Notamacropus eugenii: one gene and its partners. The protein of the gene in region 3 purifies or fractionates together with the protein of the main gene of each other region. This does not show direct contact. Links are inferred from orthologs where the notes say so. Each region holds a gene or a part of one and is shown on either strand. Other genes may lie near its edges.

Region 1 (7,927 bases), on a different chromosome or scaffold from region 3:
CGATGGTTTGTGGCGACAACGTTGTCTTCTTGTCCAGGGTACCTAGGAAGCCACAATTTCCAGTAGCCCTTGGGTTTGGGGCTGTCCCCATCCACGGCCCTTGGATTGGGGCTGGAGACCCAGGAGCTTCTGAGGGATCCTATGGCTAAGGACCGCAGCCCCCAGCCCTCTGAGGCAGGGAGGGCATCCCCCTGTAGTCTGTAGAACAGCAGCCTCCGGCACTCCTGGGAACTAGGGGCTCCCTGAAGAAGCCATGACCGCCACCCAGTCTGGAAGCGAGGAGCACCCCAGGGGTTCACAAGAAGGGAAGTGTGACTCTTCCCTGGTTTGGTTGAGTCCCAGTAGCTCATGGGAAATGTGGCTTCCAAAGGCACAGTCAAGGCCAGCTGGGCCCCAGTGGAGACTGACCCTGGGAAGCCCAGGTATCATCGTGGTGTTCTCGGAAATTCCCATCCTGTGGAAGGGCTAGGACTGGCCCTTCCCTGGGTGGGGAAGTCACTCCTTCTAAATTCCTGTCCTGTACACTGGCTCAGGGCCTGCTCTGGCCTCAACATCCTGACCCTACTTTGGGAAGGCCACCTTGAGAGTGGTAGTTCAACACTGTCCAAAAGGAATTGGGTGGGGGGAACAGATCTCATTTGAGGTTGAGGAAGGAGACCTGCTCATACCACCTCCAGGCCATGTCTCTGGGTCCCCTTCTGACTTGTGAAAATCATTTCTTGTGTCTTTCTCCATTTCTGTGTGTTCCACCCTGGCCTCCTGGCCCCTGGTGTCTTTGTGGATGGCCCTTGGTGCAGGCCGCTTCCCCATTTCTGCTGCATTGTTTTGGGGATGGCCTGATTCTGTTTGCATCTTGGTCTCTCTCTCCATCCTCACATTACCTTTTCTTTCATCTCCTTTTCTTCCCTATGTGTCTGTCTCTCTGCTCTCTCTGCCCTTTGTCTCTGACTATCCTGTACCTGTCCCAGCCTCGAGTTACCCCAGAAGGCGAGTACATTCCCCTGGATCACCAGGATGTGGACGTGGGGTTTGATGGGGGTACAGACCGCATCTTCCTGGTGTCGCCCATCACCATTGTCCATGAGATCGATGCTTCCAGCCCCCTGTACGAGATGGGCCGGGCTGAGCTGGCCAGGGCGGACTTTGAGCTGGTGGTCATCCTGGAGGGCATGGTGGAAGCCACAGCCATGACCACCCAATGCCGCTCGTCCTATCTGCCAGGGGAACTCCTGTGGGGCCACCGTTTTGAGCCTGTGCTCTTCCAGAGAGGGGCCCACTATGAGGTGGACTATCGTCACTTTCACCGAACCTACGAGGTGCCAGGGACCCCCATTTGCAGTGCTCGGGAGCTGGAGGAGCGTCGGGCCCTGGGGGACAGTGACAGCCCTGGGCCCAAGGGTGGCCTACCCGGCACCCTGGCTGCCTTCTGCTACGAAAATGAGGTGGCCCTCAGCTGCTGCCAGGAGGAAGATGAGGTGGAGGAAGAGAGGGGTGAAGCCCAGGTGGAGGGCAGCTCTGGAGCTCCCACCCCACCCCCACCTCCATCCCCTGAATTGGCCCCACCTCCTTGAAGGGCTGGGGGACTGCAATTCCCAGTATCATGGACCTTGGCTGCCTCAGTGGTGCATCATGTTACACCCCTCCCCAGGAGTTGTGGGAGTTGTAGTCCTAGGTTGGGGAGCAGCTGGAATCTAGGCCCAGGGACTCCCCTACAGCCCTAGAGCCCCTTCCTTCTGTGGGGCATGGGCTAGGATGGAAGGGGAGGCAATGCATGCTTCCTGAACCCTGGACCTTAGGAATGGGGGAGGTGGTTTATGGGTGGAACCTTCTGGATGAGTTGAATCCATAGCCCCTCTTCACCAGTTTCCCAACAAGGGGGAATGAAGGTCCCCCTCCCTTCTACCCCTATGGACACCCTCACGTGACTCCTCCCAAGTCCTTTCCTTCTGGGCTTAATCCTGCCTGGAGTCCAAGAGGTAGGGGGTGGCCAGGGTTGTTCTAGACCCCTCACCCTCAAGAAAAGACTGGGACCCAGGATACCCATTGGTCCAGGCCCCTGTTTTGGGAGAGGACAAGCCATGGAGGGTCCCAGGTCCTGGGGCCATGAGGAGCCTGGCCTGGCCTCCAGGCTAAGAAGCATCCTGGATGCTCTGGGCCACCCAAGTAGCCAATGTCTTTCTCCAGAATGCCGTGCATATTAACTATCTACACATTTATATATATACATATATACTCTCCATAATTTTTCCTGATTTTGCTGCAGAAGGGGTGGGCAAGAGTGGCCTTGGTCTCAGGAAGGAGGTCATTCTGGGCAAGCAGGAGACCTCAGACTGGAATCCAGCCCCTTTCCCTCTGTTTCTCCTGTTAACCAGAGCGGGTTGGAATGTGTTTCCTTCAGCTTTGCCAGCTGGGGAGCCTATGACCTCCGCACCCTGGGAGGTGGCATCGCTCACTAGCCTCACTGGAGACTTTACTGGAAGGCCCTAGAACAAAGCAGGTGGTGTTCCTGTTAGGACCTGGCACGGCCTCTGGACACTGGGAAAGCTGCAGCATGAGTCACCCCAGACTGAGCCCTGGGCTGGGCTGCCCTGCCTTGCCCCTGCCTAGGCTCTGGGGCAAGTGAGGAGGAGACTGAAGGACCCTGGGGTCCTTTCCACCATTGCCTGGGGGTGGAGGGAACCGGCTTGCCCTTGCCCCCAGAATAAAGAATTGTGAAGCCATCTGTGTGTGTGTGTGTGTATGTGTGTCTGGGTGAGAGGGGTGAGGGGTGGCTGCCACCCACAGTCCTGGCCCTTGGCCCAATGCCTCATTTTCATGAGTGTGCCTAGGGAGAGGTGCCAGCTTGCAGTGGGGGCTTGAGTCAGGGGAAAGAGTGGAGGCACCCAGGATCCCATCTGGGCCCTCCATCCTCCCCCCTCCAACCCCACCCCTCACAACCTGGACCTTGGGCTCCCTCCTGCTTCCTGGAGCCCATGCTTGGGTTCAGGGTCTTTCCCCAGGGTCCCAGCTCTCCCATATCCCACCGTACTCCAGAGACCTCATGGCCCTTTTTGCCCAGTCCCCCATCCTCCAGAGGCCCCATCCCTCTTTCCCCAGCCTCCTAAGGTCTCTTTCATCCCTCTGAAGCCCTGTCTTCCCCCTTCACCCCACCCCCCTCCTATGGCCTTTATCCATCAGTAACCCTGATAAGGACCGGAAGGAATTAATTAGCCAGGCCGCTGCAGGATTGTAGGGGGAGAGAAGGTGAGACCTGAGGCCTCAAAGGGTGGGGGGAGTGCTGAGGATGCCCAGGTGGGATCAGGAGGTAGCCTAGGGAGAAGGGCATGGCAGAAGACCTAGGACCCCTTCTTGGATACCAGGAAGAATATGGGAGCTTCAGACTTCCTGAAGGTCAGAACAGGGACAGGGAGGGGATTAAGAGGCAGAAACTTTTTCCATGGCTAATCCCTGGGGGAAGCTGGTCACCTGGAGGTGAGGAAGGGAGCCACAGCAGGGTCATCACCTCCTTTTTCCCTCCTGTTTCTTCACCAAGAAAAGAGCCCTACCTAACTGTGCACTCAGAGAACCTGGGCCTCAGTTACCTCATCTGTAAAACAAATGGATTGGATTAGAGGTCAAAGATTCGCTCCCACTAGAGATGTGGTGCGTGGACCCTGAAAAGGGGAGGGGTGCACAAAGGCAGAGTTAGATTTGCAAGGGGCCAGAGGTCATCTGGGCCAACTCCATCATTTCGGAGATGGGAAAAGAGACCCAAAGGTGATTTGGTCAAGGTTCCCCCAGGCAGGAAGTAGCAATTTGGAAATGCAATCCCTACTAGGAACTATGTGGGGGAACAGGGGAAAGGACAGGAGCCCGAGAGGAGGCAGGAGGAAACAGACAGAGTGTGAGAACTGAGGTGAAGGGAGAGGGACACCTCCAGAGGAAGACGCAGTCTGCATGGAGAGGGAGGAGATGAGGAGGGGAAGGAGTCTGGATAGAAAAGGAGTCAAGGGAGATGAGGAGAAGGTGGAGGAGAAGGGGAGAAGTCTAGATAGAGGGGGAGGAGTCAAGGGAGATGGGGAGGAGCCTGGATAGAGAGGGAGGAGTCAAGAGAGATGGGGAGGAGTCTGGCTAGAGAGGGAGGAGTCAAGGGGAGATGGGGAGGAGTCTGGCTAGAGAGGGAGGAGTCTGGATAGAGAGGGAGGAGTCTGGATAGAGAGGGAGGAGTCAAGGGAGGGCCCAGAGTGAGGCTAGGAGTCTGAGAAGAGTCTGGGCAGAGGAGAGGAGTTTGAGAATGATGGGATCTGAAGAAATGATGAGAAGTTAGAGGGAAAGGGGTGGAGCCAGAGAAAAGGGGAGGAGCCAGAGGAGAGGGCAGGAGTCTAAGAAGGGGAGGAGTCCATGGGAGAAGGGAAAAGGATTTGGTAGAAGCACAGGGTGGGTTCCCTTAGAAACACCGCCCTCTTCCACAGCCTTCAGCTGTTGCTAAGCAACGGAACTTTTTTTCTTTCTGGATCCCAGCTCTGTTGCCGCCCCTTAGCAACGCACCGGCTTGGAGAAAGGCTACCTCCCCCCGTCTATCTCTCGGCCTTCTCACGCAGGCGCAGACACTCTTGCCCATCTCAAGCCGAAGCCTTCCCTAGTCTGCTCCCTGTCACTTTTTCAGGGGTTGATACTCCCGATTCTATGCGCACCGCCCTCCTGAGCCGGGCCCCAACCGTCATTGGGTCCAGCTTGAGGGGCGGGGCCCTGAGCCCCTTCCACGGAGTTCCATTGGCTCGCTCGGTCACCCTCCCCTTGTCCACCGAGGCAACGCGGCCGCCTCACGCCCCGCCTCCGCCGGGCTTCATTGGCCCAGGTAACCTGCCCCTCGACGCCCATTGGGCCCACGGAAGCCAAGCTCAGGTTCCCATTGGTCGGGGGGCGGCCCCAAACGAGAGCGGAGGCGGTGGCGGCGGCGGCCCCGGGAGCGGCCGAAGGGGCTGAGCATAGCCCCAAGGACCTGCGGAGAACCGGTGGCCCGAGCCACGCTACGGGCCCGCGCCGGGCTGCCCTGGTCACCATGGAGGACGGAGTCTATGGTGAGGCGAGCGCGGAGCGAGCTCCGGAGGGCTGGGGGGCTGGGAGGCGACGGGACGTTCCATTCCATTGTTCGGGACGATACCATTTCCGGCCGGCGCAGGGGGGCGTGGTCGAAACCATTCCCTGGGCGAGTCCATTTCCTGCCTATGGGATGTACTATCCCAGGCGCACATGGGGGGGGCTCCCTTGGATCGGGAGACACCATTTTTCTTGGAAGGGGGAATCATCCCAGGAAAGAATGAAGGCGAGGGTGGAGTTTGGGGGGGCAGTTGAGTGGAGATAAGGGGGAAGAATCCAAGGCTTCTCTCCCCCAACCCCGCTCCCAAACTTAGTCCTAGTGTTGTCCGTGCTCTCTGCCTCAGTTTCCCCGGGAGACCTTTGCGCACCTTTCCCCAGACATGTCCCCGCACGCGGTCACGCGCGGACGCACCACCCCTGCGGCCAGCCCTCACCCCCCCCCCGTGTCCCCCAGTACCCCCAGACCTGACCCCCGAGGAGCGCCTGGAGCTGGAGAGCATCCGGCGGCGCAAGCAGGAGCTGCTGGTGGAGATCCAGCGGCTCCGCGATGAGCTCAGCGAGGCCATGAGCGAGGTGGAGGGGCTGGAAGCCAACGAGGGCAGGTGGGCAGCGTGGCGGCTGGTGCCCAGGACACGCTTGTTGGTGCAGCTGCGGAGCTGGCTGCCCTGGGCCACCCTTCGGTGTCAGAGAAGGGGTTGGGGGGCCCTGGGACCCAGCCCCAGCCGGGAGCCCCGAGACCCCAGGGGACCCCAGCGGGAGCCCCGAGACCCCAGAGGACCCCAGCTGGGAGCTCCGAGACCCTAGCCAGGAGCCCCGACACCCCAGGAGACCCCAGCCGGGAGCCTGAGACCCCAGGGAACCCCAGCTGGGAGCCCCGGGAGCCCCAAGACCCCAGCGGGAGCCCTGAGACCCCAGTCAGCCCTGAGACCCCAGGGGACCCCAGCCGGGAGCCCCAAGACCCCAGCCAGGAGCCCCAAGACCCTAGGGGACACCAGGAAACCCCAGCTGGGAGCCCCGAGACCCCAGCCCCAGCTGGGTGTGGGTAGGTGGAAGGTTCCCTAGCTACTCACAGCTCCCCTTCCCACCCTTGCAGTAAGACCCTGCAGAGGAACCGCAAGATGGCCATGGGGAGAAAGAAGTTCAACATGGACCCCAAGAAGGTGCCAGGGCTGAGGGCAGAGTTATCTGGGAGTGTTGGGGGGCCATCAGACCCCACCTCACTCCCACCCTCTCTCCTAATCCCTCCGCAGGGAATCCAGTTCCTGGTGGAAAATGAGCTGCTGCAGAACACGCCTGAGGAGATCTCCCGCTTCCTGTACAAGGGTGAAGGCCTCAACAAGACGGCCATCGGAGACTACCTGGGGGAGCGGTGAGGGCGCAGGAGTGGGCACAGGGCAGACATAGGCATGAGGCAGGAGTGGGCATGGGGCAGGAGTGGGCATGGGGTGGGCAGCTCACAGTGTGCCCTTTGTCTCCCCCCAGGGAGGAACTGAACCTGGCTGTCCTCCATGCCTTTGTGGATCTGCATGAGTTCACGGACCTCAACCTGGTTCAGGCACTGAGGTGACTGCAAGCCCCCCCTACTTAAGGAAAACAGCCAAGACCAGAGCCCACCTCTGTAGGACCCTGGACAGGCAGTGTGTCCACTCCCAACCTGTGACCAGGGGGGCCCTCTCCTTGCTGCCCCTCTGCCTCTCAGGCTCCCATAGCAAGGGATGGGAGTCCTTTCCCTGCTGCCCCTCCTCACTGCCTTCCATCCCCCTCAGACAGTTCCTATGGAGCTTCCGCCTCCCTGGGGAGGCCCAGAAGATTGACCGCATGATGGAGGCTTTCGCCCAGCGCTACTGCCTGTGCAACCCGGGAGTCTTCCAGTCCACAGGTGGGCCTGACCCAGGGCACTCAGAACATTACCACAGTATCCACTGTTTGCTGGCACATTTTGGGGATGCAGAGAAAGGCAGATGGGATGGGGTGGGGTGGTGGGGCTGAGGGCAGGGCAGGAGTAGGCCATGGGAATTTTTCAGGGAGGCCGATTTAGGGACTTCCCTGCAATCCCAGAATTCCCAGAGAGGAAGGTGGTGAGCTCCCCTTTCCCCTCTCCTTCTGCCCCTCCTCTGAGTGCAGACACCTGTTACGTGCTCTCCTTTGCGGTGATCATGCTCAACACCAGCCTGCACAACCCCAATGTGAGAGACAAGCCGGGTGTCGAGCGGTTCATCACCATGAACCGGGGCATCAACGACGGCGGTGATCTTCCCGAGGAGCTGCTCAGGGTGAGGCTGCCACCTGCCCCTATCAGCACCAGCCTGTGCCCACAAATGTTGGGCTAGGGCCCTCTCTGCCATCATCGTGGGCTGGTTGGCTTCTCCTGCCACCTCCCCCCACAACACCTAGCCTGTGCCCATAAATGCTGGGCCAGGGCCCTGTCTGCCATCGCTGTGGGCCGGCCGGCATCTCCTGCCACCATTCCACCCCTGCCAGCCTGAGCCTGCAAGCACTGGGCCTTCTCTGCTGTGGCTCTTGCTGCTGCCTGGCTGGGCTCTCCTTCCCTCCCTGCCTGGGTCCCTGCAGCCTCTATCCTCCTCCCTCCTGTGAGCTGCCCCTCTCTCCCAGACATCTCTCAGCTTGAGGTCCTCATGCACCCTCCCTTCTCTTCCTCTCAGAACTTGTACGACAGCATCCGCAACGAGCCTTTCAAGATCCCCGAGGATGATGGCAATGACCTGACCCACACCTTCTTCAACCCTGACCGGGAGGGCTGGCTCCTCAAACTGGGTACGGCGCCCGGGGTGGAGCACTGGGGAAAGGGCCGGGCGGGCCGGCCGGGAGGGGGCTGGGGGCTGGGGCA
Region 2 (7,034 bases), on a different chromosome or scaffold from region 3:
ACTCTGAATGATGAGATTAATAATGAGATCTGCCCTGGACAAATGGGCTGGCCAATGAAATGAAGACTTATCTGAACAGGATATTCACAGAACTCTGAGCTTTCACCCTTTGCCTGCATATTCCTGATTACCTCATCTCCTTGCCCTCGTGGCACATTTCCTGTATTAAAATCCCTAGCTTCTCCTGACTGCTGCTGCTGTCTCACTGAATTAGAGTCCACTGGGTGCATCACTCCAAATCGATGCCCTTACTTGATTTGGAGACAGTCTGAGTCTGAATTCTTTTGAGACAACATTGAGACCCATGCCCTGCACTTCAACATGAAGATGTGGTCTGCTGCAGAGAATCATCTTTGAAATTCTATTTGTTCCATTTTGGTATTTTCGTGAAGAACACCCATTACTAAGTGTAAAGATCATTTTCATAAACACCTGACATAGGTGAAAAGCAGAACTATGAACTAACTCCTAATATCTTCTTGCACCTTTTCTGACATTAATGCTGTGATTTTTACCATTTTTACAATCTTCTCTTCTTAGAGGATTTCACTTAATGTCAGGAAGACCTGAGTTTAAATCTTGACTCAGACACTAGGTGTGTGACCCTGGGAAAGTCACTTCTTAGTCTACTTTAAGTTCCTCATCAATAAAATAGGGATAACAAAAACACCTACCTCCAATGGTGCTTGTAAGAATAAAATGAGGTATTTGTAAACTGCTTTGCAAACCTTAAAGTATATAAATGCTAGCTGTTTATTATTATGATGATAATGGTGATGATGATGAATAACAATGCCTTTTAAATTGTGTTGTGTCCAATACAAGATTTTGTTTGGTTGAGTCTTCAAATATTTGAAGAGTTATATGGAAGTGGGATTAGACATTCTCCTTGGCTCCAGAGAATAAAACTTGTACAATGAATGTAAGTTACAGAGAGGAAGTTTTAACTGCTAACAGTTACAATTGTCCAACAATAAAATAGGCAACTGTGTGGAATGGCTCAGGTCCCTACATAAATCAATTACTCAGAGGACTCTCAAAGTGATGACAGAAAAGTGATTTATTCGATTCTCGAGAAGCGGGGCTAACCTGTAGGAGTAGGAAAGCTGAAGACAAAGAAAAGGGCAGTGATTTATATAGACCCTAATGCAAGTCCCTCCTCCCCCCACTGACCATCATCCTCATTAGCTGAGAATATGATCTTACATTCTAGACACGAAATCTAACCAATCCCTTTTGAAATGAAGACATCGAGGAATTACATAAGTTTTATCCAGTCATTGAGACCCTAATATACTACACAGTTTTATATCCTTATATGGAACTATTCTATTCTAAAAATATTGTAACCTTGAGCCTCTAGGTCTTACCTCACTCCTGGGAGAAGAATTACAATCTGAGAAGTCTTCACTAAACCTATCCCACTCACTCCCTATTGAGGTAATGAGCTCCTTGTCACTTAAAGTGTTGCAGCACAAATTTTGCCCTAAAGAAGATACGAGATCCCAAAGAGATCATAAAAATGGGAAAGGGTCTCATGTACAAAGATGTTTATAGCAGCTCTCTTTGTGGTGGCCAAGAACTGGAAATTGAGGGGATGCCCATCAATTGGGGAATGGTTGAACAAATTGTGATATAGAAATGTAATGGAATACTATTGTACTATAAGAAATGATGAACAGGAAGACTTCAGAGAGGCCTGGAAGGACTTATACGAAATGATGCTGAGTGAAAGGAGCAGAACCAGGAGAACTTTGTGCACAGCAACAACCACAGTGTGTGGGGAATTTTTCTTGTAGATTTAGTTCTTCATAGCAATGCAAGGACCTAAAAAATTCCCAATGGATTTTTGAGGCAAAACGCCTTTCACATTCAGAGAAAGAACTATGGAACTGGATCGCAGAATGAAGTAGACCATTTTCTTTTGTATTATGTTTTGTTTTATGGTTTCTCCTATTCATTTTAATTATTCAACATGACTACGGTGAAAATGTATTTAATAGGAACATATGTGTAGAACCTATATAAGATGGCACGCCATCTTGGGGAGGTGGTGGGAAAGGAGGGGGAGAGAGGGGAAAAAATCTAAGATACATGCAAGTGATTGTAGAACACTGAAAACAAATAAAATAATTTTTAAAAAAAGATATGAGAAGAGACCTACACCCTTCTCCTACTCTTTTTGCAAAAATGGGGGAACTATGGGGTTTACAACATTGAATATATTGTCAGAGTTTTTTAGATATATTGATTGGTTTTTTTCTCTCTTATTTTTCATTTTTAAAAAATTCTTTGTTACAAGGGATGACTATATGGAAGATGCAAGGGAGAAGGATATAAGAAAAAATTAGGTGATGTAAAAACAAAAGATTATCAATAAAAATTTATGTCTTAAAATGTTTAAACAGATGCTAGGTAATAACAATTATTATTTATATAATTAGCTTTATAAAAATCGTCTAGTTTCTATCTTCACAAGGACCCTGGGAGATAGGTGCTATTACTGCATGAATTCACAGATGAGAAAACTGAGGCAGAAAAAGCTTAAGTGACTTACCCACCTAATAAATGTTTGAGGTAGGATTTAAATTCAGGTCTTTTTCATTCCAAGTACTGTGCTCTCATCATCTAGCTATTAGGAATGAGTAGTGGAATTTCATTAGGAAGGTCTGATTAGATAGTGATTAATCTGAAATTCAGAATTTGTCCTGTATTACTTGCTACTGTTTTATATGCATTCCTAGAAACTGAAGGTGAAGGATACAAACATCTCTCTAAACTCTTCATGCCAAGTCTTTCAGTTCTATGTTTAGTGATGCTAACCGACCTAACTAGGTAAGGTCCCAGTGATACAAAGTAGCTGTATGATCTGCGTGGGGGAAACACCTACTTTCTTTCAGCCTTAGGTGTCTTCCTTATTAAATGAAGAGACTCAGTTGGATGATTTCTGAACTGTCTTTCAGCTCTTAAGCATCTGTCACTCAGTGGACCCTAGGACAGGTACCTACTCTACACTTCTCCATCGTCCTCAGCAACGACCCCCCTCACTGATGATACTAAGAAGTAGATGGTTTGACTTCGGGCAACTAGGGGGGCGCAGGGACAGAGTGCTGAGCCTGGAGTCAGGAAGACTCACCTTCCCGAGTTCAAATCCGGCCTCAGACACTTACTAGTGGGAGCGTGGCCCAAGACCTGGGGGTGGTAGTAAGCAGGGGAGCTGGTCCTCTGTGGGTTCTGCCCCTCGACACCGCCCACTGCTCCTTTTTCTGCCCAGGTGCAGGCTGTTATCACCTGAAACATCGTTCTCCTGTACCTCGGCCACACCAATTTTCCTAAAATACCTCTTTCAGTATGAAAGCCCTTGTATGACTCCCTCTCTTCTCAACTCTACCTCCGTTTCCTCATCTAGCTGGAGAAGGAAATGGCAAATCGCTCCGGTATCGTCCCCAAGAAAACCCCAAATGGGGTTCCGAAGGGTCGGATACGACTGCACAGCAATTAGCAGAAAACCTGAGCTCCTAAGGCTCTGTAATACAAATCCTCTACAGATGAACGCAGAATCTAGAGGAACGTAAACCGGGAACGTGTAACAGGAAAAAAGACAAGATTCTGAAGCTTGCCAAACGCAGGACTTAAAACTACATTTCCCAGCAAAGAGCACGCCGGGCCAGCGCGTAGAAGTCGAGTCCCGGGTCCCTTTCCGCAGTCTCTTTGGAGAGAAAGACTACATTTCCCGGCAGGCCATGTAGGTGCGCATACGCAAGCGCACTAACATTCCCTAGCCCGGGAACGAGGATGAGAAAAGTTCAGGGGGGTTGTTGCAGTTGCCGTCGCTGCGGTCTTCATCGCCTCCGTCACAGTGGGCTCGTTTTGGCTCGTCCGCGGTAGGTGGGTTTAGGTAGCAGCCATGGGCCTCAGGCGGACCAGGGGAGCGGGGCAGCGGGGAGCGGCAACATCTCACCCGTTGTGCTCCCCCCATCCCGGGCCAGGCTGTGGTGCCCCAAGACACTAACAGTACGCATGCGCACCCTGCGGGGCTCCGGGAAGGGGGGCTGCGGGGAGGGGGGAGAGGTCACGCACCCGCCGCGGAGGGTTCTTTGTTCGCCGGGGCCGCGCCTGGCGTACCACGTGGGGGGCGGCCTTTGGAAGCACGTGGGCTGGTGGGGAGGAGGCAAAGCTTTCCGAAGCACGTGCTTCGGTGCGAGGAGCGCGGAGCGCAGGAGGAGCTGCGGGCGGCCATGAAGGAGAGCATGGCTTCGGCGGGTCCTTCTCCCGAAAGCCGCGGTAGTGATAGTGGCGGCCGTTTAGAAAGCCCCTTAGAGCGCTCCTTCCTGCAGCGCCACGAGGTCGGTAGCGCGAGGGAACCCCGGGGCTTTCCCGGGAGCTTGGGGGCCGACTTGAAGTTGGCTTAGTTCTTGTTCCCCAGCCGCCTTGGGAGGTAGGTAGTGCCAGGATCACCCCGTTTAACGGAGGAGGACACAGCGTCACCAGGTATCCCAGCCTGCCCAAGGTGCCGGGGCTGGTAGTCAGTGGGGGAGCCGGCCCCCTGGGGGGTCGCCCTTCTGCGCAGGTTCTGGGGGTTGTCCCCCGAATCATGGCTCTCCCGCCTTTCGGTCTGAAAGCCCTTCCCTGATCTCCTCTTTCTTGTGAGATCAGGTCCAGACTCCTTTGGTCGGAGTTGACAGGGAGCCCAAATGAAGAATTTTTCTAGGTGGAGACTTGTGTATGTTAGAAGGTAGTGGGGTTGCAGCTGTGTAAAGGGAGAAGTTACAGGTAAAAGCATCATATCACGCACCCCCAACCCCTTCATTTCCTTCATATGAAAACTGAGCTGCAGAAAAGCCAAGGGATATGTCTGAGAACACTTCAGGTAGTAAACTGCTGGGATAATAAACAGATGGGGAATTAATCCCCCAAATATTCTGATTTCTGTTGTAAAAAAGGAAAAAATTATGGGAACAAATCCCTTTGGGAGTTATAAGGGATGAATTTAGGAGGACAGCAGATTTCCTTGCTTTTGGTCTTTTCCCCCTTTCCAAAGCATCTTATTGCTAGAATAGTTTGAACGCTGAATTTGGAGTCAGAGCACCAAGAGTTCAGATAGCAACTTTTTTATTTACTACCTGTATAGCTTTGGGTAAAAGTGGCTTTCTCTCTGGGCTTTCCTCTCTGAGGAAGCTGACTTACAGATCTCTGAGGTCCTTTCTAGCTGTAAAAACTAGGTTCCATTAAATCAAAATTATCCAGGGTCCTTGCAGTCCAGGGCCCCTTCAAACAGTTACCTTACTGTGTCTTTTCACCTGCTATTGCTTCTATACATGACCCTTCTTTTTTAACCCCACTTGTCTTAACAGCTTCTGCAGGTGCAATGCTATCTCCTCCTTGTTGTTGTAGGTTCCCCTTCAGTAGAATTTCCCTTGTTTTTTAGTAATCTTAAGGCCTTCTGCTAAGACACATTTTTGCCTGCCAAACCTCATTTAAAACTTGGAATTTCCTTAATACCTGTCAGTAGTTTGAGACCTACTATAAACTAACTCAGTAATTCATAACTGATAAAGTTATCGTTTTTTCTTAGTATTAGCCTCATAGAATCTGGAGTTGGAAGGACATTTTAGTGATCACTTAGTTTTACAGATGAAGAAACTGAGACTCAGAAATAAATTTATTTGCATAAGGTCACAAAGCTAGTGAGTGGCATAGCTTTTAGTCCCCTGACTTCAAATCCAGTTTTTTCTCTTATCTCATGGATATTGCTTTTCTTCTTGATAGATTGTAAGCACGGGGAGGACATGGACTAAATCTTCTTTTTAAAATACCCCTGTTGTTATTGCAATGCCATGCTTTCTGAGCAACTTGTTTGCAATTGTTGCTGGATGAATTAAACTTACTGAATGCCCCAGTGTGGTTGGTCCTTTAGGAGCCTCCCCTCCCAGAGGTTTTTGACCATTCTTTTCTTCCCTTCCATTCCCCTTTCTCACAGAAAGCCATATTTACCACAGCCATGGCTCTGGTGTCAGCAGACTCGAGAATAGCTGAACTACTCACGGAGCTCCATCAGCTGATCAAGCAAACTCAGGTGATACTTGATTCTTCTCCTCAGAAGAGGGGATGACCTTGGGAAGACTCAGAGGGTGATTAGAAAGGGAATTAAGGTCCCATAGGCTTCCTTCCTACAGTGCTGAAAACATGATTTTAGAATAAACCAGTATTAGAGGTGCTGTTCAGTGCCAGAGGAACAGCGTTGTAAGTGGTGGTTCCTGAACAGAAAAAAGAACAGAAGTCTGGGGGGTTGGAGAAAAGGCTAGAGGACAAGTGAGCTTTAGGTCTGAAGGACAGGAGACTAAAGGGAGCAGAGGTTGTTGGACAATCTGATAGCTAAAATTGCAACTGAATTGGCTATAAAGTATTAATGATGTTATTTTGAAATGTTGATTAGATGTTCCTAAGTCATAGTAAGGGAAGTGAGATATTCAGGAAGTTTGGGGGTTTTATTTTCAAGTTTTATTAATTTTTTCTTCCCCATTGTACCATTTTAAATAGTTAAGCAAAACATGGATGAGGTATATATATATGTGTGTGTATACACACACACACACACACACACACACACACACACACACACACACACACACACACACACACATATATAGGAGAAACTAGGTATGCATAATGGTTACAATAAAGTTGTGGATAGGTGTATGTTTAAGCAAAGTTTTATTGATGAAAATAAGTAAAAACCCTAACCTTCCCTGCTTCCATTTCTTTAATTTCTCTCTTGTAACCAAAAAAAAAAAAAAATGAGTAAAACCAACCAACATAGAGACCTCCATCTGCATCTGAGAGACGTAGGGAGCGCAGTGGAAAGAGCATTGGCTGAGGACCCAGAGGCCTGGGTTCAAATCTTGTCTTTGATGCCGTCTGACATTTCAGAAGTGATATAACCTCCATGAGCCTCAGTTTCTTTATCTGTAGAAGGAGGAGGATGGACTAGATGACAATCTGAAGTCCTTCAGCTCTCAGATCTTTGATCCAAA
Region 3 (7,298 bases):
AAAGCGAGCCCAAGAACTATCTTTAATAAAGGGCTCAGTTTCGAGGGCCCTCCTCACTCCTCTCCCTCAGATTACCTTGTATGTCCTTTGTTTATATTAATTTATGAATAAGTTGTGTCTCCCGTGGAATATAAACTTGTTGAGGGAAGGAATTCTTTCTAGCACTGAGTCTAACCTCTTTCTTTCTTTCTTTCCTTCTTTCTTCCTTTTCTTTTCTTTTTTTCTTGGCATCCTTGTGGCATAGCATAATGCCTAACTCATAGTAAGTGCTTAATAAATGCTTCCTCATTGAATGATTTGGGGGGAGAGGCGTAGAGAAGGGAATCAAGGCATTCGCCTCAGCGGGGGCCACCTTGTTCCATCTAAAACTTTTCCATTTCCAGGTCTGAATCCTGACTGTCAACACCTGTGTGACCTTGGGCACATCACTTCACCTCAGTGGAACTCAGCATGGACTAGAGAGATAACCTCTAAGGTCTTGGTCTGAAAAGAGTCCTCTGGTTTCCCTTCAGAACTACACTAACCATGGCTGGGAGGTTGCCCACTTCCCTCCTTCACTGGCTCAGTTTCTCAGGTATCCTAGGTCCTTTCCTTGCCTTTGACATGCCACCCCTCTCCCACCCCCCCATCCTTACTCTAGATTCTTCTTGCTGAGTGCTAAGGTTCAGTAACAAGACCTGTGGGCGCCTTCTACTTTTCAGTACAACGCCCCAGTAGCCCTGCCTTAGATACAGCTCAGGCACTGTTCAGAGCAACGTGGCCTCAGCATAAAATACATCCACTTTTGGCTATTTCTTTATCAAGGTCATTCTGCTTTCTTAATGCAGAGAGGGAAAGCAGAGTTTGGTAAATTGAGGCACAGGGAAATTGGAGCAGAGCTACGCTTAGAATCCAAATGGTAGTGTCTCTGTTCTACCTGGCAGTCCCAGAGAAGTAAACGCCAGACAGCTCTTTACTGTTCATTTTCTTTCAAATTTATTTCAAACCCAGTTCAGATTCTTAGGTGGAAATACATCCAAGGGATTAGTCTTTTTTTTTTTTAATCTTCCAGGGACATAATACTCACTGAAAGGTATGGGATGGGGGCTCCATTTGGAGGTGGGATCCCCTCCAATTGAAGGATTTGTCCAAAAAATTGTTAGGTAGGGAAGGGGAAATTCTTTGGAGAGTTCTATTTCTATTCACTCTGAGGGTCTGAACTAGGACATAAGGCACGTAAAGGACTTTCCTGGGGATGGTGGTAGTGGGGTGGGAGTTAGGGGGTATGCAGAGTGTGATAAGAAAGTTCTCTTGGCAAATGGTGCCACCTCGTGGCTTAAATGGGGTCATGTAAACTGATATGAGAGAAAGAGACAATGACAGAGACAGAGACAGAGAGACATAGACAGAGACATAGAGACAGATATTGAATCCAGATACCAAGGTGTTTTCTATGGCCATGGAAAAGATGAACCCTCCCCCCCCGGAAAATCATAAGTGAGACAAATAACGATGAAAACAGGAAGAGAAGTAGTGGGACAAGGATGGAGACTCAGGGAGAGATGTGCCAGAGGAAAGGGAGACTGAGGAAGGATAGGGGAATGAAAAGCAGAGGAGGAAGACAAACCGAGACATCTAGATCCCCAAGAAACTGCTTAGTGGCCTGGGCTCTTTACTCTGCTGGATAAAGAGGCAACGGGATGGGAAGGCAAAGAACTCTGCCCCTCTGGAGTCAGAGGACCACCGATTTAGAACCAAAAGGGATTGTAAAGGTCATCTGGCTTGAGCCTTTTATTTTACAGATGAGGAAACTGGTTAACAGACTTGCCCAAAGACTCCCTGGTGGAAGAGGCAGGATTCACACCTGTAGCCACTGATTCTAAGGCCAGCCCTATCAGTAGATCTAGGTTTGAATCCTGACACTGTCACTACCTGTGTGACCTTGGGCACATCACTCCATCTCAATGGAACGCAACATGGACTAGAGAGATAACCTCTAAAGTCTTGTTCTGAAGAGAGTCCTCTGGTTTCCCTTCAGAAATACACTAATCATGGCTGGGAGGTTGCCCACTTCCTTCTTCCAGTGGCTTAGTTTCTCAGGTATCCTAGGTCCTTTCCTTGCCTTTGACATGCCACCCCCCTTCCCATCCTCACCCTAGACTCTTATGCTTGGACCCTAGTTAAATGATACTCCCCAGTCTTGATGGAGGATCTGAGAAAAGACCTCTGTCACTCACCTGCTCGAAGCCGATAACCTGGCTACTGCATCCTCGACCCAATCCCAGGGCAGAGCCTTCTAGGGTGGCTGAGAACAGAATGAGAGGGGCTGAGGGGAATTCTGACTGCTCCCTGGCAATACCAGCTGCCAGCACTATGACCAGCCACCTTGCCCTCCTGTTCTTCAGGATGCGGTCTGGGCAGGAAATGTTGCTGATGGGGCCCTGAGTCATTCTGGGGTTTCAGAAGATGTCTTGCCCGAGGGCAGAGACAGGTCACTGTCTGGCCCCTCTCTGGTTAAATCTCCCCTTCTCCTTCCCAGCCTGTTGTAGTAAAACAAGTGATGAAGATAAAACAACCAGGGATTTTCCTCTCCAGCTAAAGCAAGGGCAAGGAATGACAAGGTGGGCAGTCCAGAACACATCCCAGGACAAGGGCCTTCCCACAAAGGACTCCACTGGGCGGGGGGAGTGGTTTGGGAAGAGGCTTAATGAGAGGAAAGGGCATACATAATGGGGGCAACATCCCCAGTGCTGCCAGGCATATCCCCCAAACAGCAATTCTGAGGGCGTTCCCAGGGGCACCAGAGATGCCTTTCCTTACCTCACCCCCTGAATAGGAAGGAGAATTCTGTTTCTCTCACAAGCAAACATCTATCTGTCCCTTCCTTTGTTCCTTCCCTATTCTTGCCCCTTCTTGGGGAGGGAATGGCGGGTAGTGATGCCTACTTTTTCGGCTGGGAGTTGGAGTTGGTATCTTCAAGACAGCATGTCTTCCATTCTGGTAAATGATGTACCTTTTTATCATTGGGAGCCTGGGATTTGTTTTTTCTTCCTAGGTTATTCCCCGAAGTTATACGCTCACCCTTGTAGAGTTTGGGGGGACCAGATAGGTCATCAAATTCAGTCCTGACAATTTAATTCACTTCAATAAACATAATGTTTTGGACAACGTGCTAAGTCCTGGTGACTGTTGTGTTTGTGTTTAGTTCTTGAAGAGGACCATGACATCAGGGAGAGGATGACACTACTTGCAGTTGACTTGGATTTGAGGGAGAGAGGGCTGTGCAAGGTCACCAATCTCGCTTTCTCCCCCAGAGCCATCTGAGTCCAGAGACCTGATTTATCAGGAGGACTGGAGATGACCCAGGATGCAAGGGGAGACTCTGGCCTTTTTAGGCCTAGGTCACTTAAAGTGAGAATGTGATAAGTACTGGTGATACAAAAAGAGGCAAAGTTCAGTCCCTGCCCTCAAGGAACTTCCAATCTAAAGAGTGAGAGACCAACAAATCTATGCAAAGCAAGCTATAGACTGGATAAATAGGAAATAACTAACAAAGAGAAGGCAGTGCAATTCAGAAGGTTGGGGGAAGACTTCCTGTAGAAGGTGTGATTTTAGTTGGGACTTAAAGGGAGTCAGGCTGAGGGTTCTAGGCCTGGGCAACAGGGAATTGTCAGGAGTTGGGACATGAATATCTTATTCTGGGAATAGGCAGAAGGCCAGTGTGTCCCTGGATCAAGGAGTACTATTTTACAGATTATAGGAACTGAGGCCCAGAGTGGCTGAGTGAATTGACCAAGGAGTACATAGGTCCCAAACAGCAGGGCTGGGATTTGAACCGAGATTTTCTTCCAACTCCAAACCCAAGGCTCCTTTCACTATGGCACAAGGTCCTAACCCTGGGGAAATGGGATATTTCGAAGGGTCCGTTCTCCTGGCTGGAAGGTGGAGGCAGATCTCCGACTTGGAGAGGCACCAGGCCACCATCCCGGCTGGCCCCCCGAGGGAGGGAGACCTTTAGACAATAAACTTCGATTAGGCCCGGACTCCGAGCCAGGCACCGTGCTAAGAAAGGTACCGGGCAGCCTCCGCCCTCCCCGAGCATCCACAGCCGGGATTCAGAAGTAATCCGGGACTTTGTCTTGCTTGGGGGTGGGGGTGGAATGGAGGAAAAGGAGAGTGGAGGAAGGGGCGTGGGGGTCTCCGGGCTGTGGCTTTCATTTTTGTACCCCGGGGTCTGCTGGAATGAAAAGTGCAGGGCGCCAGGCGCTCCCCAGATCAAAGGCGCTCTCTGAGGCTGGGGCCCTGAAAATCTGGGCAGACACAGGGGGGTGTGAGGGGCCCTGCACCACCCCAGATCAGGGGCAGAGGGGGCCTCCCAGCCCCACAGGCCCCTGGCCTCCATGGTCCCTGCGCCTACTGGACCCTTCGATCCCAGGCCGGGGTCCTGGTCCCCCCCCCGTGGACCTGGATTCCCGAGCCTCCTTCAGAGCCCCCCTTCCCTCTGGCCCTTGGTATGCCCCATGGGACAGATGTCTTGGGATCTTTAACATTTGGGATGCAGCAAACGCCGAAGTTAAATGAAATCCCCGCGGCTGTGAACCAGTCAGGGCAGCCTCCTTCCGGGAGCGGGAGCGGGAGCACGCTGCGGGAGGCGGGCTCCCAACCTCTGCGGGGACCCTGCGGAGAGGGCTGGCGAGGCAGGCGGCCGCCCCCCCGTGCAGGTGAGGCTGGGGGCTGGAGAGGGGCCGGCCGGGGGTGGGGGTGCGGAGTGCGTGGTGTGTGTGTGTGGGGGCGCGAGACCGGGCACCAAGACGCTGCGGGGGGCGACTGGACAGATCGGGGGGACGCGGGTCTCCCAAGCAGGACTGCCTGCGTTACCGCCCCCCCTCCCACACACACACCGTGGAGGGAGGAGCCGTGGAATAGGGATCGTGGGTGAAGCTAAGGCTGGACGGTGGGGGGCAGTGGGGGAACAGGACAAAAGAGTTCTTTAAAGAAGGTGGAGCGAGGTCTGACTTCAGTACCCACTCTAAGCCTGCCTCCCGCTTGTTCCCCTGCCTCGGACTTCTGCACACACACTCACACACCGGAGCACCCTTTCCAAGGTAGGAGACCTGCCCTGAACTTTGAGGTGGGGGAGCCAAGGGAGAGAGGGGGGCACAAGAGTGAACTGATTGCCATCAGTTCTTAATTGGCCTGGGCTGTTTCTCTCCTTTTTTTTCCTGTCCCCTACTTGGTCTGTCTGTCCCTGTGGTTGAATGAATGAACAGTATGAATGAAATATACCTGCCTCTGCTTTAGATACTTTAGATGATACAGAGATTAAGATAGGCTTCCTGCCCTCACTCAGCTTACCCTCCACTAGACCAGTTTACCCTAAACCTCTAGAATAAGAGGCAACTTTGCTGTATCTTTAAGAGACTAAAAGGAAGAGTCCCCACTCTCACCCCTTTTTGAGTAGGGAAGTCTGTGAGACTTTGAGTCATTCAGTTCATACCATGGGAGAAAGACATGGATGAAGGGTTGAGTTAGGAAAATCTAGACGCTTAGCAATCCAGTGTCTGGAAGACACTATCCTTTGCTAAATAGTGGGTCAAATGGCCCCAAGGGTCCTCCAAAATTGCTCAGGCCTATTCAGAGTCCCTCCTATCAAAGCTGTTTTCCTTTCGACCTCAGATTGACCCTCCCTCACTTTCCCCAACACATACTCTTTAACTAATCCATGTTATGTTAGTGTCCCCCAGAAGGTAGAGGAAGTGCTGGGAGAGAGGGGAGCAGAGAGCATCCATTTAGGTCAACCGGAACTCTAGGGATTCAGTGAGAACCAGATTTTAACATCAATATGGTAGAAGATACACTTGCTTCCTCATGCTTCCTCATATATTACACTCAGGAGGTGTGGGAAATTCTCATTATTCCTAGTCCATCTTCCTAGCTGGAGCCTAGAGCTGTGGGTTGCTTCCCTACTTCTTAGAAGACATACCTCTAAAGATTGCTGCATTCTCTTCAGGCTCCCAGTAAGAGGAGGTGGGGGGGGGGGGGGGAGGGGATTTTCCCTGCCTGGGCCCCTCAGCAGCAACCCTGAGGTCAGCTGTGGAGGGAAGGATCTGGTGGTCAGCTGGGAGGGCCTCGGGGAGGGTATTGTTTGGAGAGGGTGTGGGTAAGGAATGTGAGAGAGCCGGCTAGGTGTAAGGGGAAAAGGGGGGAAATGGAGGAGATCTAGCTCTGGGAAAGCAATAAAGGGGGAGTGGGGAAGAAAGGGGTTTGGGAAAAACAGAAACAGGCCTAGAGCTGAGTTGGTGGTAGGCCTGGGGACAGCATTCAAAACTCAATGACTGGAATCCTCTGCAGAGGGGACTGGTACTAGTTTCTGGTTGCTATTTGGTAGCCCTGGAGTTTTCCACTTGAAACTTTGGCTCTTGGAAGGCTTTGGAGACCCTGAGGTGTTGGGAAATTTCAGGATGAAAAAATTCAAGAAAACTGATACTCAGTCTAAAACATTCCATATCTGACCCTCAGTTTCTTTCTCTGTTAAATGGGGGTATTGGATCCATCATAATCCTACAAGTCACACCTCCTATAGTGCTTTAAGGCTTACAAAGTACTTTACCACAGCAGCCCTGTGAGGTAGTTAGTGTGAGTATTATGATCTCCATTTCATTGTGAGGAAAGGGGTCCAGAGAGTTGAAGCATCTCATAGCCAGTGTCAGAGGCAGGATTCATGTCCTGATATAGCCTCCCATATCCTGACATCCTGCTACACCATGAAAGAGTCATAGAATGAAGATGTGTGACCACAGCTAGTCGCTTCTCTCAGTGACCCAGGTAACTCCTGAAGACTAAATCACATAAGAGTTTTGAAGTGCCTGCTGGGTATTCCCTTACACTAATGGAAGCCTAGGTCTAGACCTCCCCAAGGTACTGTTCTAGGTATACAAAGATATCAGAGATACAAAAATAGTCATTCCTCATTAGCATACTTTTATCAGGTATGTCTAACACCATATTGAATGCTAGGAGTGATATAATACTTGACTTAGCTGAAGCCTCAGACAGCTTATAGTCTAATGGGTATAGGGACGTGAGGATGAAGGAAGAATGCACCGAAATGAAGGAGAGTGAGATAGGCGGAAAGGGAGATCCAGGCAAACGTAGGAGAAATTTGGGGAGGCAGAGGTCACTTGCATGTTAGGAAGGTGGTTAAGAAAGCATTCATGGAGGATGAGGCAGCTGGATTGGGATATCAAGAAAAGGAAACACTTTAGAGAGAGATGGACTCCGAATGGAGAGAGATGTGGAGGAGTCCTTTCCAGGTGTGA
Region 4 (7,268 bases), about 36 Mb from region 3:
TTCTTTCTCCTCCCAACCTGAGAAGCTTATACCTGTCCGATTCTGAGTAAGTCCCTGAAACCTCAGTCTCGGTTACCTTATATTAATAATGTTATAGAACTGCTGAGAGAATTGAAAAACTTATGTAAAGCACTTTGCAAACCTTAAAGCTCTATGTAAGTGCTAGTTATTTTTATTATTTAGCCAGGGAACACAAAAGAACTATTATTTACCTTGTTGAATTTATTTTTGATTCTTATGGTTTCAATATGGCTGCTACAATTGCAAACATTATATATTATCATAGAGAAGCAAGGAGTGACCTAAGAAAAGAATTTTTACTCTCTCAGTGCCTCAAACAATGCTCTAAGATTTAGTTACAGAACAATTGCTAATATGCACTGGTAGAGGGAATTTCCTCTAACTGGAGTTCCCTACACCAAAAACATCATAGATCTGGGGGTGGAGAAGTAATAGAGGGTCAAGATCAGATAGATCACTTATAGTGGAATTGAGCATATATAACAAATTATCTTCAGATAAAAGTCCATTTTAGGACTAGAACCCATTTTTCTACAAGTTAATGATGCCTACGCATAAGTTTCATTTCCCTAATTTCATTTGTCTAGAACTTTGGCTTCTTATTTTTAAAAATTTACGTGTAAAATCATTATCAATTATTCTGATTGTGAAAGAAAACCCAAAGAATATGTACAGTACTGCAAAAAAAATGCACTCTGTACTAAATAAAAAATTCAGTTCAACCTCTGCAAAGACAGTACTATGGTAAAGGGGTTAAAAAAAAAAAACTACTCAGGAAAAGGCATTCCTAAATGCTACTCTGGAGACTGCAACTAATTTCTCAAAAAATCTTAGACAAAACACAATGTATACACCTGAGTTCACTTCCTCATCTACAAAACAGAGAGACTGTGTACATGATAAGGTGCCTTCCTAACATGAGTCTATTATGCTGGTACATGGCAATTATCTTCAAAGTTGGAAAGCAATCACTGCAAACCCGGCTTTCACATAATGGCTGAAACACGTTCTTCAACCACTTGGCATTTTCATAATTGAGTGACAACCCTAGATAGAGAATTCAAAGCAGCATTTCCCCCTTTCTCTTGATTTCCTCCTCATCCTGCTTTGTCCTTTCCTCCCTTCCCTCTATTTGCGGTCTGACCAGTATTCAGTTATAAACAACACTATTTAGGAACTGAATCATGAAAAACTTCATCTACATATTATCCATCACCCGGTGATGTTTCCTTAAAACAAACACGTAAACATCGAGTGCACGCCTTGGGCACGGCTGATTGAAGAATAACACAAAAGAACTCTTCCGAAATAAGGCACACCAGTACAGGATCCACACGGCAGGAAAACAAAAGAAAGCCCCTCGCGGGCTCCCCACGCGGGCTCCCCACGCGCGCTCCGGCGCCGGCCTGGGGGAGCCTCGCTCCACGGAGCGCTACAACACCTCCAGATTCTCAGACACTCGGGCCCTGCCCTCCAGAGGCTTACATACAGGCTGTGGAAAAACACACAAAAGAAATCCGGAATAAAGACGAGACCCACGTAGGAGGAGGCTTATGTAACGCGGACAGGAGCCCCACAGCCTCCAGACCCACACCGGGCACCATACGGAAGGAGCCCGACCCAAAGCCGACACCCGCCGGGGCATCGCGGGGACAATGAGGGGGACGACGAAGGCCGCCTCCTCCCTCCGGGGAGGGAAGGGTGAGGACGGCGGGGCTGCGACCGCGGCCAGGCGGGACCTGACACCGCCACACACGCACACACACGCACAGACGCACCCCACCCAACACACACACACGCACGATCTGGTCCCCTTCCCGAGTGTCCCCGCCGCTAGCGGCTCTTTCCCGCCCGCCCATCCGTCCCCTCGCGCCCTCCGCTCGGCGCGGGGAGGAGCGGCACAAAGCCACGGAACACAAAATGAATAAATGCACATTTCCAGGGGGAGGAGTCAGCCGGCAGCCGCCGAGGCCGCCTGGGTAGCAAAGCCCAGCGGAGCCCGGAGGGAATAGAGGGAAGGGGGGGGCCGGGAGGCGGGGCCGCCGAATCCCCCGGGGCGGGGGGGGGGGGGGCGCGGCGCGAGGAGCATCCGGAAAGCAGCACCCCCCCCCCTTTTCCTCTCCCAGCTGCACTCCCCCCACCCCGAAAGCCCGGCCGCACACCAGGGGTTCTCCTAGAAAGAGGATCTGGAGAAGGGGAGGCGGCGGCGACGGCATCACTGAGCCAGGCGGCTGAGCAGAGCGCATCACTTACCCCTCACCATAGCGAGAGGGACCGGACGGGGGAGGCGGGGCGCGTCGCGTCCCGTGAGTCTCTCGCACGCCGTCCCCCCGCCAACCCGTCGCCGTAGTCGTCGTAGTCGTCGTCGCTGCCGTCGCCCCTAGACTCCCCGTTCTCTTCACCGTGCTCGGCAATAACGTTATTCCACACACGCCCCACACATAGCGGTAACGGCAGAGAGCGGCCGCCCACTGCGCAGGCGCGTCAGGAGAGGCCGGGGAGGGAGCCCTGCCCCCTCCTCCTCCCCCAGCTCTCTCTTACTGCGCAGGCGCCAAAGGCAGACAATGAAAAGGAGTTGCCTGGAGGGTCGTTGTCCCACCCACACGATTTCGCAGCAGCCCACTGCGCAAGCGTGCCCCTAGGACCGGCAGAAACAATGAAGAAACTACTGTCATTAGCTTGGACTGCAACCAACAAGGACTACAGATCCCAGGGGGCAGTGCGCCAACTCCACGACAACTGGCCAGTTCCCTTGGCATGCTAGGATTTGTAGTCTCCAGGAACTACACATCTTTCACTGTTGAAATTGAGTTTTTTTCTCCAGCCAAGGCTACTCCTGGTAGTAGTAATCGAAGATGGAACCGTAAAAAAGGAGTCATAACGTTTCATTCGCTTAATTGTAGGAGTCCATGGATCAAAACCAACACTGTCTTCCCTCTACCTAAACACAATAAAACTTCATGGATTCTCCCTTACAGCAAACATTAGCATCTAATAGACTATGTAATTGTAAGGAGAAGAGACAGACAAGATGGGAGAGTGACAAAGGCAATATGTGATGCAGAGTTGCTGGACTGGTCATAGACTTATCCTTTCCAAACTAAATATTCGAATTCATCAAAAGCGCCGCCCCCCCCCCCCGCCCCAAGGCAAAATAACTACCAGAAGAATTAATGTCAACAAATTAGAGCTCTTCTCTGAGCATGAACAGTTTGCTGCTGACTTGGAGGGAAAATTGAGCCTATACACAACTGGCAATACTGGAGCCGAAAAGGAGTGGGAAACTTTCAGAGGCTTGGTGTACATCCCTGCATTTGCTCACAAACGCTGGTGTGATGGAAATGATGGGGAAATTCAGAAGCTGGTAAATGAAAAACAAGAACTCCACAGGATTTACCAGCAGGATAATTCATCCACCTCTAAGAAGGCAGCATTTAATTCCATCAAAAGCAAAGCTTAGAGAGATGTAGGATTCCTGGCTCAGTAAGAAGGCAGAAGAAATTCAGCTTTATTCTGATGGTAACAATCCAAAGTGCTTTTGATTCCCTAAAACCTATTTATGGACCAAAAACCTGTGGTGCTTCACAAGTACTCAGTGCTGATGGAGCCACATTGATTAATAATAAGGACATGATCCGAGAGAGATGGGCTTAACACTTCCATAGTATTCTCAACAGACCATCATCAATCAATGCTGAGGCCATTGACCATTTATTTTCCTCAGGTTGGAATCAATCTCTCCTTAGCTGAACTTCCAATTGAAAAAGAAGTTTTGAGGGCCATTAGGATCCTTTCATGTGGCAAAGCATCTGATGCTGATTCTATTCCAGCTGACATTTACAAGGTAAGGAAACCATTGCTCATACAATATCTAACTGAAATTTTCCAAGTTATATGGCAAGAGGAGGTTATCCCCAGGAGTTCAAGGATGCCTCCATTGTCCATCTCTATAAAGGTAAAGGAAATAGATTGTCCTGTGACAATCACAGGGGAGTCTTTCTCTTAGTCATTGCTGGCAAAATTCTTGCTAGAGTCCTTCTTAATAGGTTGATCCTTTACCTGGGAGATGGTCTACCTGAGAGCCAGTGTGGCTTCAGAAAGGGCTGGGGAACAGTTGATATGGTGTTTTCTGCCCGACAACTCCAGGAGAAATGCCAGGAGCAGAACAGAGGTCTGTACACAATGTCTGTAGATCTGGCCAAGACCTTTGACACTGTTAGTTGTGAGGGCTTATGGAGAATTATGTCAAAATTCATCAATATTGTATGTCAGTTTCATGATGGTATGTTTGCCTAGGTTCTGGATAATGGACAATACTCTCGTGCCTTCACAGTCATCAATGGAGTGAAACAGAGCTCTGTGCTTGCTCCCATGCTTTTTTAGTATGATGTTTCCAATCATGATGACAAATGCTTTCAATGAGGATGAACGCAGCATCAAGGTCAACTGTCATACTGATGGTAAGTTCTTCGATTTGAAAAGGTTACAAGCCAAGACCAAAGTGGAGGGAGTGTTGGTGCATGATTTTCTGTTTGCAGATGACTGTGCACTCAATGCAGCCTCTGAAGCTGAGATGTAACAAAGTATGGATCAATTCTCTGCTGCCTGTGCTACTTCTGGCCTAATAATTGACACCAAGAAAACAGAGGTGCTCCATCAGCCACCACCACACCATCCATGTGTGGAGCCATTGGTTACAACAAATGGAGAAGTTTTGAATGCTGTGGATAAGTTCACTTAACTTGGTAGTGTACTTTCCAGGGATTTACACAGTGACAATGAGGTTGATGCACACATTGCCAGAGCTAGCTCAGCGTTTGGGAGGCTCTGAAGAAAAGTTTGGGAGAGAAGAGGTATTAGACTGACTACCAAACTGAAGGTCTACAGAGCCATTGTGCTGACCTCATTGTTATATGCTTGTGAAACATGGACAGTCTACCAGTGCCATGCCAGGAAACTGAATAGCTTACATTTGAACTGTCTTAGGACAATTCTGAGGATCACCTGGCAGGATAAGGTACCAGACACTGAAGTCCTTGCTTGGGCTGAACTGCCAACTATTCAAACGATGCTTCAGAGAGCACAGCTGGGATGGCCTGGCCACGTTGTTCCAATGCAAAATGTATGCTTGCTAAAAAGACTATTTTATGGAGAGCTCATATGGGACAGGCGATCACATGGTGGCCAGAAGAAGCAATACAAGGACACTCTAAAGGTCTTTCTTAAGAACTTTGTATTTACCTGTGCAACATGGGAGACACGGGCACAGGACTGCTCAGCATGGTGTGCCCATATCAGAAAGGGAGCTGTGCTCTATGAACAAAGCAGAATTGAGACAGCACAAAGTAAACATGGAATGCACAAATTTGGAGTATCCAGCCCAAATATTCACGGGGACTACCTGTGCCCATCCTGTGGTAGAGCATTCTGAGCTCATATCAGTCTGATCAGCCACAGCAGACACCCTGAAATTTCACTTTAACACGGTGTTGTCATTTGGTCCTCTTCCAAGATGAAGAACAACCAACAATGGTAGGGCAAAGATCTTCAGAAGCTCATTTTTTTGGTAGTTGGGTGTTCCAGACTGCCTAAGAAACGAGAATGGGGGAGGGGGAAATTTGGAGTCTGAAGGAAGGGGAGGGTGGAGCCTCCAAGCTGTCTCCAGGCAACTGAGCTTGGAGGCCAAACTGTCTCTTCCCTGTGCGCGGTGCTTCCTGGGAACTGTAGTGTTCCGTAGACTTCTTCAGGGTCTAGAAAGCGGCAATACGAGAACCTGACGGACTACAACTTCCACTATCCATCATGGGGGCCCGCGGGTGGACAGCGCCCGCCCCCTCCCGCCAGCCAGGTCCTGCCATTCAGGCGCCCCTCTGACAGCGAGGTCTGGAAGCTAGGAGGCTGTGGGCCCGTTGCCCACCGAGGAGGTTCTGTAGGAGCTTCTACGGGCCGGGGTCACTGCATGGCGAAGGCCTTGGGGGATCCTGCCCCGGCAGAGCCCCTGAGGGACCCTACCCTGGAGGAGGCTCTGGGGGACTCTGCCCTGGAGGAGGCTCTGGGGCACTATCAGCGGAGTCTCAGGGGTGAGTTACGGGTCGTTTACCGCAGCCCCAGCCCCGGGCTTCCCCGGGCTTCTTTCCACGGTCTGGGCCGGCGCTCCTGGATCTTTCCTCCGGTAGCTCGTGACTTGTGTGTTTTCCAACACTTGTGTGAGTTCCTCCCCGCCACGCGGGCAGCCTGATGCCCGGGAAGGCTTGATGTGCCCAGGGTCGGAGTAGGGTTGGGATCCGGGGCGTTGCTTAGCTTCAGAGACATGGCCTTTCTCTCCTCCTTGTCGGGGTGTCCTCCTCATCCCTCCAGCACCGCTTCTCCTTCCTCTCATGATCGTTCCCCAGGCCTTGTCCCCTATACCCCTCACCCCATTATTTCTTGATGTTCTCTTTAACGCATCCTGCTTCCTGGAGTCTTCTAAAGTCGGCTTTCATAGGCGCTGTTGGGTTAAAATTAATCAAGAACCGTTAGCAAAGCACCCTTTATTGATTGAAACCAGATTCTCTTGGAAAAGATCCTTGCCCCAGGATCGTTATCCCCGGGAACCAGATAACGCCTGGGGCGATGTCGCTCCGAGCCCAACCACCAACTTTTCAGGTTTCTGTAGGAACTGGGTAGCCCTGTTTGCTGTCATCCTAGGTGAGTCACCTGATGACTTTCGGGTTTTAATCAATGATCACATTTGATGGGATCTCAAGTAGGAAACAGCCAACGTTGTGTCTACTGAAATGGCAGGAATTTAAACATTGGTCATCTTTATTTAATGAATACCCTTCTGAACCTGATGAGTGAAATGAGACCTGTTCACTTTGAAAGCAGGAAACAGTTTAATAAAAGTAATCTTTTTGTTTTGTTTTTATGAAAATAAAGCCCAAACGTTCTAGTTCTAGCTCTTTGAGGGTTTCCTCCCTTGCATATCTGGTAGGACTGGCTCCCTCTCCCACTGACAAGCTCCTTCTGTCAGTTCCCTCTAGGAAGGACCCCAAGAAAATGTACTGATTGGGACAATTAAAGAACAGTCAAAATCAGCTGAAGCAATAAAGGTGTCACTTCCTCCTTAACCTAAACACCTCCAACTCCATTGCTCCATTCACTATGTAGTAAGAACTCATTTAATAATCATTATACTTTACTTAGTATTTCTAGACTATATTGACTTTCAAAGTCATAGTTATTTCATTATTAGGTATATGGTCAAA

What was found.
Region 1: the proteins of INAVA (region 3) and CYTH2 purify together in Homo sapiens (co-immunoprecipitation; 3 studies listed by BioGRID and IntAct, counting the BioPlex papers as one, with this or other methods). This does not show direct contact. The link is inferred for Notamacropus eugenii from reciprocal best matches to the Homo sapiens genes INAVA and CYTH2.
Region 2: the proteins of INAVA (region 3) and SGF29 purify together in Homo sapiens (co-immunoprecipitation; 3 studies listed by BioGRID and IntAct, counting the BioPlex papers as one, with this or other methods). This does not show direct contact. The link is inferred for Notamacropus eugenii from reciprocal best matches to the Homo sapiens genes INAVA and SGF29.
Region 4: the proteins of INAVA (region 3) and CEP170 purify together in Homo sapiens (co-immunoprecipitation; 3 studies listed by BioGRID and IntAct, counting the BioPlex papers as one, with this or other methods). This does not show direct contact. The link is inferred for Notamacropus eugenii from reciprocal best matches to the Homo sapiens genes INAVA and CEP170.

What each region holds. Positions count from the first base shown.
Region 1 is NC_092876.1:12,827,906-12,835,832, reverse strand, and holds the start of CYTH2 (cytohesin-2), read left to right. Parts: upstream 1-4,908; 5' UTR 4,909-5,041; coding exon 5,042-5,060; intron 5,061-5,457; coding exon of another isoform or gene 5,458-5,533; coding exon 5,534-5,681; intron 5,682-6,172; coding exon 6,173-6,239; coding exon of another isoform or gene 6,240-6,329; coding exon 6,330-6,448; intron 6,449-6,561; coding exon 6,562-6,642; intron 6,643-6,845; coding exon 6,846-6,958; intron 6,959-7,203; coding exon 7,204-7,352; intron 7,353-7,742; coding exon 7,743-7,927. Other genes in the region: KCNJ14 (ATP-sensitive inward rectifier potassium channel 14), read left to right, coding at 969-1,571. UniProt on the Homo sapiens protein: Acts as a guanine-nucleotide exchange factor (GEF). Promotes guanine-nucleotide exchange on ARF1, ARF3 and ARF6. Activates ARF factors through replacement of GDP with GTP.
Region 2 is NC_092872.1:46,716,038-46,723,071, forward strand, and holds the start of SGF29 (SAGA-associated factor 29), read left to right. Parts: upstream 1-4,026; 5' UTR 4,027-4,238; coding exon 4,239-4,346; intron 4,347-5,980; coding exon 5,981-6,076; intron 6,077-7,034. UniProt on the Homo sapiens protein: Chromatin reader component of some histone acetyltransferase (HAT) SAGA-type complexes like the TFTC-HAT, ATAC or STAGA complexes.
Region 3 is NC_092873.1:439,804,423-439,811,720, reverse strand, and holds the start of INAVA (innate immunity activator protein), read left to right. Parts: upstream 1-4,297; 5' UTR 4,298-4,492; coding exon 4,493-4,700; intron 4,701-6,642; exon of another isoform or gene 6,643-6,804; intron 6,805-7,298. UniProt on the Homo sapiens protein: Expressed in peripheral macrophages and intestinal myeloid-derived cells, is required for optimal PRR (pattern recognition receptor)-induced signaling, cytokine secretion, and bacterial clearance.
Region 4 is NC_092873.1:404,072,425-404,079,692, forward strand, and holds the start of CEP170 (centrosomal protein of 170 kDa), read right to left. Parts: upstream 3,009-7,268; 5' UTR 2,275-3,008; intron 1,723-2,274; coding exon of another isoform or gene 1,677-1,722; exon of another isoform or gene 1,449-1,676; intron 1-1,448. Other genes in the region: SDCCAG8 (serologically defined colon cancer antigen 8), read left to right, coding at 5,981-6,101.